Linked DNA regions of Callithrix jacchus. The protein of the gene in region 2 purifies or fractionates together with the protein of the main gene of each other region. This does not show direct contact. Links are inferred from orthologs where the notes say so. Each region holds a gene or a part of one and is shown on either strand. Other genes may lie near its edges.

Region 1 (3,500 bases), on a different chromosome or scaffold from region 2:
TGACAAGAGTTCTGCTCCCCAGGGTCAAGAGCTCTTAAGCAGGGCTTCACCAGTTCAGTGGCAAATATCAGACAAGGCTCTCACATTCCAAAGCGGGTACATGGGGTCTTCTGTTCTCCCATGATGATCAGAGCAACAGTCTGGACCTACAGAAGACTTTCCAGGAATGCTTTCTCACAAGGGCTGTCAGCCACCACTGTAAATCAGAAACCAACCACCAACTTACTCTCCTAGACAGCCCCCGCAACCCAAGTATACACAGAGAGAGCATGCAGGGGCAGGGTCCTTCCCCTGATGGTAGGCTCTCTTAGCATCTGCGGGCCTTGATTCTTGCTGGCTGTGCATGGTGCCAGGGTGCACTGCCCTGCTGTGTGGCTTATCCATGCCCCGAGCTTGATGGACAGGCAAATGGACAGTGCCAGTGGCAGCTGAACCATACTCCCAGTGACAGGCACCCAGAGCCCCTGTGAGTACTCAGGGCATAGGCCTGGGGCCCTGTCCCATGATCTTGTCTTTGCATCTTGGCTGGAGTCAGTCAGCAGCCATGGGCCTGGGCTTGGAGGTCCTTGGAGGTCGACCACCTTGGAGGTGGTGGCCAGTCCCTGGAGAACAGGTAAGATGGGGCCATAAGCTCCAGGGAGCGCAGTCTGGCACCTGGCACAGAGGATGGGGGCCTTCACTGTCTTCTGGTTCAGTTGTGGTGGGACAGTATGCCTTCATGCCCCATGCAGAAATTCCTCTTCTCCCAGAAGCCCCTCAAGGTCAAGGCTTGTCAGGACTTGTGGCTGGCGTGCTCTGCTGATGAGCTGATGAACATGCTGTAGTCTCCTCCTGAGGGCGCTAGCTCTCCACTCCTGCCCACGCTTTGACACCGTGAACCCAAAGAGGACATCTTACAGGGAGCCAAGCAGGGCATGCCATGCCGTGGTGGCCAGGCTTGGTTCACTTCAACAAGAACCAAAGCATGGTCGCCACAGAGAACAGACAGAATCCCCATTGCATGTGGACCTGAGCCCAGAACCTAGGCTGTCTCCCAACATCTAGAATGTGCAAACAGGGCTCCAGCTTCCACTGCTCTGACCATGACGCTGAGGCAGGCAGAGCACATTTATAAGGGGATAAGCAAGAAGACCACATCAGTGCTCCCGAAAGAGGTCAAGGGGCAAGGAGCTTCCCAAAGCAGCCCCAGGCACAGTTGCACAGTCATTCCTTGCTTGCCCTCATGCAAGCACTGAGCTTCACACACTTCAATGACTTCAGCTTCGCCTGAGAGCCCAGCAACAACTCTACACCCCAACCAGAACACATGCAAGCAGAACAGCGTCAAAACAACAGCAAGCAGAGAGCAGGGGAAAGACATGCTGCCTGCAGTGGCTGGTTGCTGTGGAGACAGAAGCACATGATCCCAATTTGTTGGGATATCCTCTCTTGCATTTCAAACACCTTCACTCAGTGTCAGCCACAGCGGCCACCACACAGCAGCTGTCACTGCACCTTCTCTGGAACAGTCTGGAGATGCAAGGTCAGGGTGGAAGGCCTGGTTCACCATTGAAAGGATGGCTAGGGGTAAACAAGACGAACAAGTCCCTAGAACACAGGGGGAGCCGAGGAGGGCGGCTGAGGACAAGGCCTCTGCCTCCCCACCGGTGAGGGTTTCCTTTCCTTCTGGTCATTAAAACTGCACAGCCCCTGGGGAGATGTTGAACATGGCAGGGTCAAATCGCTGGCCTCGGAAGGGAGAACCTTCAGCATCCCACCCCTTCTTCAGCATCTCATGGACTTTCTACAAACAGAAAATAAAGAGATTAAACAAGATCACAAGGCACTGTGCACTTTCTCCCAGAGCAGACTCTGACTGCAGGCAAAGAGCCTTCCTGCTTCCTCAGGGCTCAGGCACTCACCTGGCAAAACTGACTGGCCAGAGAACCGTACTGCCCTGGAGCAGCCTTCGACCAAGGGAGGCACTGTGTGACTAACAACTTCTCTGCAAGACTGTGCTCCACAGACTGAGTTTCTAACCCCCCATCTTCTGTCCCCAGCAAAGCTCTGGCTGCTCTTCATGGTTCATCTTGTCCCTTTTCAATCTGTTTGGAATCAACAAATTCCAAACAGCCTGCAACGTCTATGGTCCCACTAGGCACTGACTATGACATGAAGAGGAAGTGTCCCAGCCCCACTGGGGTCATAGAGAAGGTGCGTAAAATGTTCAAGCCCCATCTGATGAAGGTGTGCAGAGAGGATACCCTAGCACCCCAGTTATCAACATCAAGAACTAGATCATCAGACAATCCAGGGTTGACCCAGGATGTGGCATGGAGGAAGAGACTTCGGAATGTCCAGTGGTAGACCCCCCCAGTCAGGAATTCCCCACTGCATCCTTGCAGATGCAGTCAGAGTTGGTTAACTAAGCTGTTGCCAACATCTGGCTATTCTGGAACTATCAAGCCTCCGAGGGTCAGAAGCAAGCCTGAGTGTGTGGCCATGGCAAGGGACATTAGGAATATTGGATCCTGAGGGAAGCATCGGTACCTGAGCTAGCAGGCCCTCTCTCCTCATAGGGACTCCGTATCTGCCCTCCTCATGTGGCCACCATGAGTATACTGAGGGCTGGGGATGATCTCTCCTTCCTTCTGACATTCTGACCAGGGACAAAAGAGACTGTGCAGGGCCAGTAGTTACTCTACCAATATGATCCATGGTCCCTGTTGCAGAAAACCCTGTAGCCTAGGCCCAGAAGATGAGGCTGTGGGGCTCTCAACGCCAGGGCTTCTCCTTACATAAAACACAGTCTTCCTGACAAGAGAGTTTTCTCTTTGCTGTTTTAATTTTTAGAGATGGGGTCTCACTGTTTCCTAGGCTAGAGTGCAGTGGTGTGGTCACAGCTCAGTGCAGCCTCAAACTCCTTGGCTTAAGCGATTCTCCCACCTCAGCCTCCTGAGTACTTAAGACTACGGGTGCAGTCCACCATACTTGGCTTCTTTTTCTTTTTTTAAAATCGAAGTGATGCAGCAACAAGCATATCAAAGATGTGTACTATATACTACAGATTAATTGACATTACTATCAATTTCTTGTGGGCAATTCACATCAGAGACTTTAGAAAGACCATTTTGAGAACAAGGTCCTGCAGCACACATGGAGTGGCTAGGGGTACAGAGAAGACTACATGAAGCCCCCTCCTCTGCCCACTGGAGGTATGAGGCTGGACAGCCTCAACCAAACACAAGAACGGATGACTTCAGCAGGCAGCTGCACAAAGCCTCTGAACCTTTCAAAAGAATCCTGGCCAGCTGTAGGGCAAATGACAGCTGTAGAACCCTGCAGCCACCACACTCGTACCCTGGGAACTGGGTGGCTGAATGGGGGCCCGATGTAGGATGCCCAGAGTGCAAAGGGCAGATTAGTAGACTTGATCTTACAACAGAAGGAGCACAGGGTGTCAAGATCAGCACTCAGACCTTTCCTGAGACAAAAGTGGACTGCAGGCATTCCTGTGTGTC
Region 2 (4,181 bases):
CACATATATGACCTCATATAGTCCTCTCAACCCTGAGAGGTTGGTAGTACTGAGTATATTTCATAGATAAGAAACAGAGGCTTGGTACGCGATTTTTCCTCAGAGTCACCCAAGTCGAACCCAGACCTTCCGATTCCTAGTTTTATGCCTCGCATTCCGCGTAGTTCTATTTCAAGCATAAATAGAATTGTTAAAGGAAAGGAACGCGTTAGGGAAAAAATAATCATGGTACCTGCAGCTGTGTGCTGCAAAAAATGGCTGAATTATGCTTCTTCCTTTTTCTTTCTCGCTCTCTCCGGGAAAAAGAAATTACATTTCAAACAATTTAAGTAAACTCAAAGACAAATGAGGTCCCGGCGTCTATCAAATGTTTGACTCGCGTCCGTGCAGAGACGGCCGGAGAATTCGTGCTTAGCTCGGGGCCGCGGGCGAAGCCCCGGCTCCGCAGGCCGGCGACCGGGGGCGGTTACGTACCTCTGGGGGTCCTGTCCAACCTCTAGTGGACGGCAGTCCGCATTAGGAAGAACGGGGCCGGCAGGCCGATGGGTGGGCGGTCGGGCGCCGGGAAGGCACTCGGCAGGCTTCTCGGACGTCTACGAGCAGCCGCTCGCGGCCCGAGCCGGGTCGCTCCGGCGGGGCACAAGTGTGCTCGCCTGCAGCCCCCTCTGAGTAAGTCCTGGGAAGGAAGACACCTCTGAGTCGCGAAACCAGACAGTCGGGCTCCACACGAGGCGGCGCGGCGTCGGCGCCCGGACCGGCCTTGCCAACGCCGGGGTCTTTGCAGCACCCGGCGGGGCTCGGCGGGAGGACCGACTGGGGCCGCGGGCGGAGGAAAGGGCTGGGGGGCAGCGGGCAGAGAGAGAAGCACCAGCGGTCGCAGCGTCAACGACGGCGTCTCCGGGCTTCTGCCCCGAAGCGCGCCGAGCCTCGGGATCACCCACGCCGGGGGTGGAGGAAGGCGGGAAAGGGGCGGGAAAGGGGCGGGGCGTGCAGGGCCACGAGCCGGGGACCGCTCCGGGCCGCGGGAGCCGCCCGAGGCCCGCCCAGGGAGGCGGGGCTGCCTGGCAGGGGGCCCCCCGTGCGCGGTTGTCTAGACGCGGAAGCCCGCCACGCTAGGAGTTCGGGGGGAGGGTGGGAAGCCGGGTGGGGAGCGGGAAGCTGGCCCGGGAGGGCCCCTCGGCCCCTGCTGGCGCCCCGAGGGAGCCAGCGCGCGGCCTGGCGGGTGTTTACCTTCCCCCTGGTCGAGCGCCAATGCCGCCATCTTTCAGTCCAAAGCGCGTCACTTCCGGCGCCACGGGAGCGGGAGCGGGTGTGGGAACGGGGGGAGGGGGCGGGGAAGGCTGTCCCGCGCCCGCTGCGCCTCGAGTCCCGGCCGCCGGCCCGCCACGCCAGCGGTGCCCCACTGAGGTAAACAGGCGACCGGGCGTCGCGGCCCCGGGCTTGGCCCGACGCAGCTTTCCCTACGGCGCCGCCGTCGGGGCTGAGGACGCTCAGCTGTCCTCGTCCCCTTGCAGCGGTCCCTCTCCCCCGGCACGAGCGCTGGGCCGGGAGCCACTGCGGTGCGCCCACCCTCGACAAGTTAAGGGCTAGGAAGCCAGGAAAGTGTCCTTTTGCATCTTTGCCACGGTGGGGGTGGGGGAATCGGGGACAGCGTGTAGGGAGCTTTGCCATTACTACCTGTTATAAAAGTGACTAGATCTGCGCCAAATGACATCATTTTTTGTAAGGCAACTTGCAGTGGATTATTGCGTCACTGTCCACTTGGCTCACTGCACAAGAATTACACGTTTCAGAAATCGATTTCCCAGGGGTGGGAAAATTAATAAAAATGGCATGTCTGCACTACCCGGAGAAATGCCGGATCTAAAAAAGCTATTCTGTCTCTACTTGCGTCAAAATAATAAAGAACGAACATTCAGAGGGTAGTGATTTTTTTTTGTTCGTTTTTAACACATCAGCTATAGAATTCTAGCTAATAGTTTTAAAATTTAACCTTTTCTTGACTTTAGAAAATAAAACTAGACTATAGGACTGTTTTGTAAATTTATTATGCAATATCTTTGTGAGAAAAGTGTAGGTGACGGAAATGCACGGTTGGAAGCCCGTGGTTCTACAATTAACCTTAAATTAGGGCATCCATTGCCATTGCTGATCCTAAACTGGGGTATTTCGGCTTCCCCCACCCCCACCCCCCGCCGCCATTTTCTCTCTAGACCAATATCCCGATGAACTTTCCGTGAGATGTGTCGCTAAAAGCGATCATTATCTCTTTCTAGCAAACTTGAACGTGCCATCTTTCCCAAGAGGCCAAAATAGCACACGGTGTACTGTTTTGCTGAAGTAGACTACTTCGTGGGAAAGATAACAGAATCACCTCAGTCTTTTGGAAATAAGCTTCCTTATTATGATTTAAACTATAACAAGCTTTAAAAAACTATAAGACACTGAAATTCCCAAGTTGTTCACACATTCTTTCCATCTTTTCTAATAGCTCCTTTAAGATATTTCTGTTCATTATTTAAAAATCCTTGCTTGCTGTATTTGTATCTAATATATGAAATTACCCCAGAATTTATCCCCTTAACACAAATTTTTTAAAACCTTAAAATAAACTTTTAAAACGCATACATTCAACTTCTGAATATTTAAATTTTCATACATTATTCCCAAACATCTAAACGCTTGAATTTTGATTTTTGTACATTAACCAACAGACATATATTTTAATCTATACATTACTATGTGGCACTGACCTGTCTAAAGAGAGGCTTCTGTTCTTGATTCAGGCAAGAGCTGAAATGTTTCTGCATTCTGTGCAGCAGGTATAAATGTAGTGAGTGATGTCATAAGCCATAGTGTGATCACCATGCCCCCTCCCCCGCCCTCCCTTATGTTGACATTACAAGGTCTCACATGTGGAATTTCAAATGTGCTTTTTTGAATATTTATTGTAGTTTCTGAAACTGGGCTGGGTCTTTCAATCAATCTAGACATTTACTATATAAACCACCTCCAAAAGTTATATTTAATCAATGATGCCTCTTTCACTCTTATTTCTTATTTTTATTTTATTATTATTATTATTATTATTTTGAGATGGTCTCACTCTCGGCCAGGCTAGAGGGCAGAGGCGCGATCATGGCTCACTGCAACCTTGTCCTCCGATGCTCAAGCGATCCTTCCACTTCAGCCTCCCGAGTAGCTGGGACCACAGGTGTGCCCCACCATGCTTGGCTAACTTTTCTGTTTTTTGTAGAGACGGCGTTTGGCCATGTTGCCCAGCATGGTCGCAGACTCCTGGGCTCAAGCGATCCGCCCGCATCGGCCTCCCAAAGTGTTAAGAGTACAGGCATGAGCCACCGCGCTCTGGCGCTCAGGAGTTTGAGACCAGCTAGGGCAACGTGGCAAGACCCTCGATCTCAATCAAAAATTAAAATTAAAAAGTAGTGTGTAATATATAAAAAGATGTAGTACCTTAATAAAACATTCTGCTCTTCCAATATCAAGGAAAGTAACTCTCTTTTTTTTTTTTTTTTTTTTTTTAAGACGGAGTTTCGCTCTTGTTACCCAGGCTGGAGTGCAATGGCGCGATCTCGGCTCACCGCAACCTCTGCCTCCTGGGTTCAGGCAGTTCTCCTGCCTCAGCCTCCTGAGTAGCTGGGATTACAGGCACGCGCCACCGTGCCCAGCTAATTTTTTGTATTTTTAGTAGAGACGGGGTTTCACCATGTTGACCAGGATGGTCTCAATCTCTTGACCTCGTGATCCACCCGCCTCGGCCTCCCAAAGTGCTGGGATTACAGGCGTGAGCCACCGCGCCCGGCCAAAACCCTCTCATTTAAATAAACTCCAGGTAATTCCTGTCTTGAAATGTTAATTTTCGGCGGGTTCTGGTGGCTCACGCTTGTAATCCCAGCACTTTGGGAGGCTGAGGCGGGTGAATCACCTGAAGTCAAGAGTCCGAGACCAGCGTGGCCAACATGGTGAACCCTTATCTCTACTAAAAATACAAAAATTAGTTGGGCGTGGTGGCCGGCGCCTGTAATCCCAGCTACTCAGGAGGCTGAGGCAGGAGAGTCGCTTGAACCTGGGAGGCGGAGGTTGCAGTGAGCCGAGATGGCGCCACTGTATCCCAGCCCGGGCGACAGAGCAAAAATTCCGTCTCAAAAAAATAAAAAAAA

Evidence for each region.
Region 1: the proteins of KLHL15 (region 2) and NUDCD3 purify together in Homo sapiens (co-immunoprecipitation; 3 studies listed by BioGRID and IntAct, with this or other methods). This does not show direct contact. The link is inferred for Callithrix jacchus from reciprocal best matches to the Homo sapiens genes KLHL15 and NUDCD3.

The regions. Positions count from the first base shown.
Region 1 is NC_133512.1:12,467,159-12,470,658, forward strand, and holds part of NUDCD3 (nudC domain-containing protein 3), read right to left. Parts: intron 1,784-3,500; coding exon 1,673-1,783; 3' UTR 1-1,672.
Region 2 is NC_133524.1:24,766,397-24,770,577, forward strand, and holds the start of KLHL15 (kelch-like protein 15), read right to left. Parts: upstream 2,801-4,181; 5' UTR 2,754-2,800; intron 1,288-2,753; exon of another isoform or gene 677-1,287; 5' UTR 475-676; intron 1-474. UniProt on the Homo sapiens protein: Substrate-specific adapter for CUL3 E3 ubiquitin-protein ligase complex.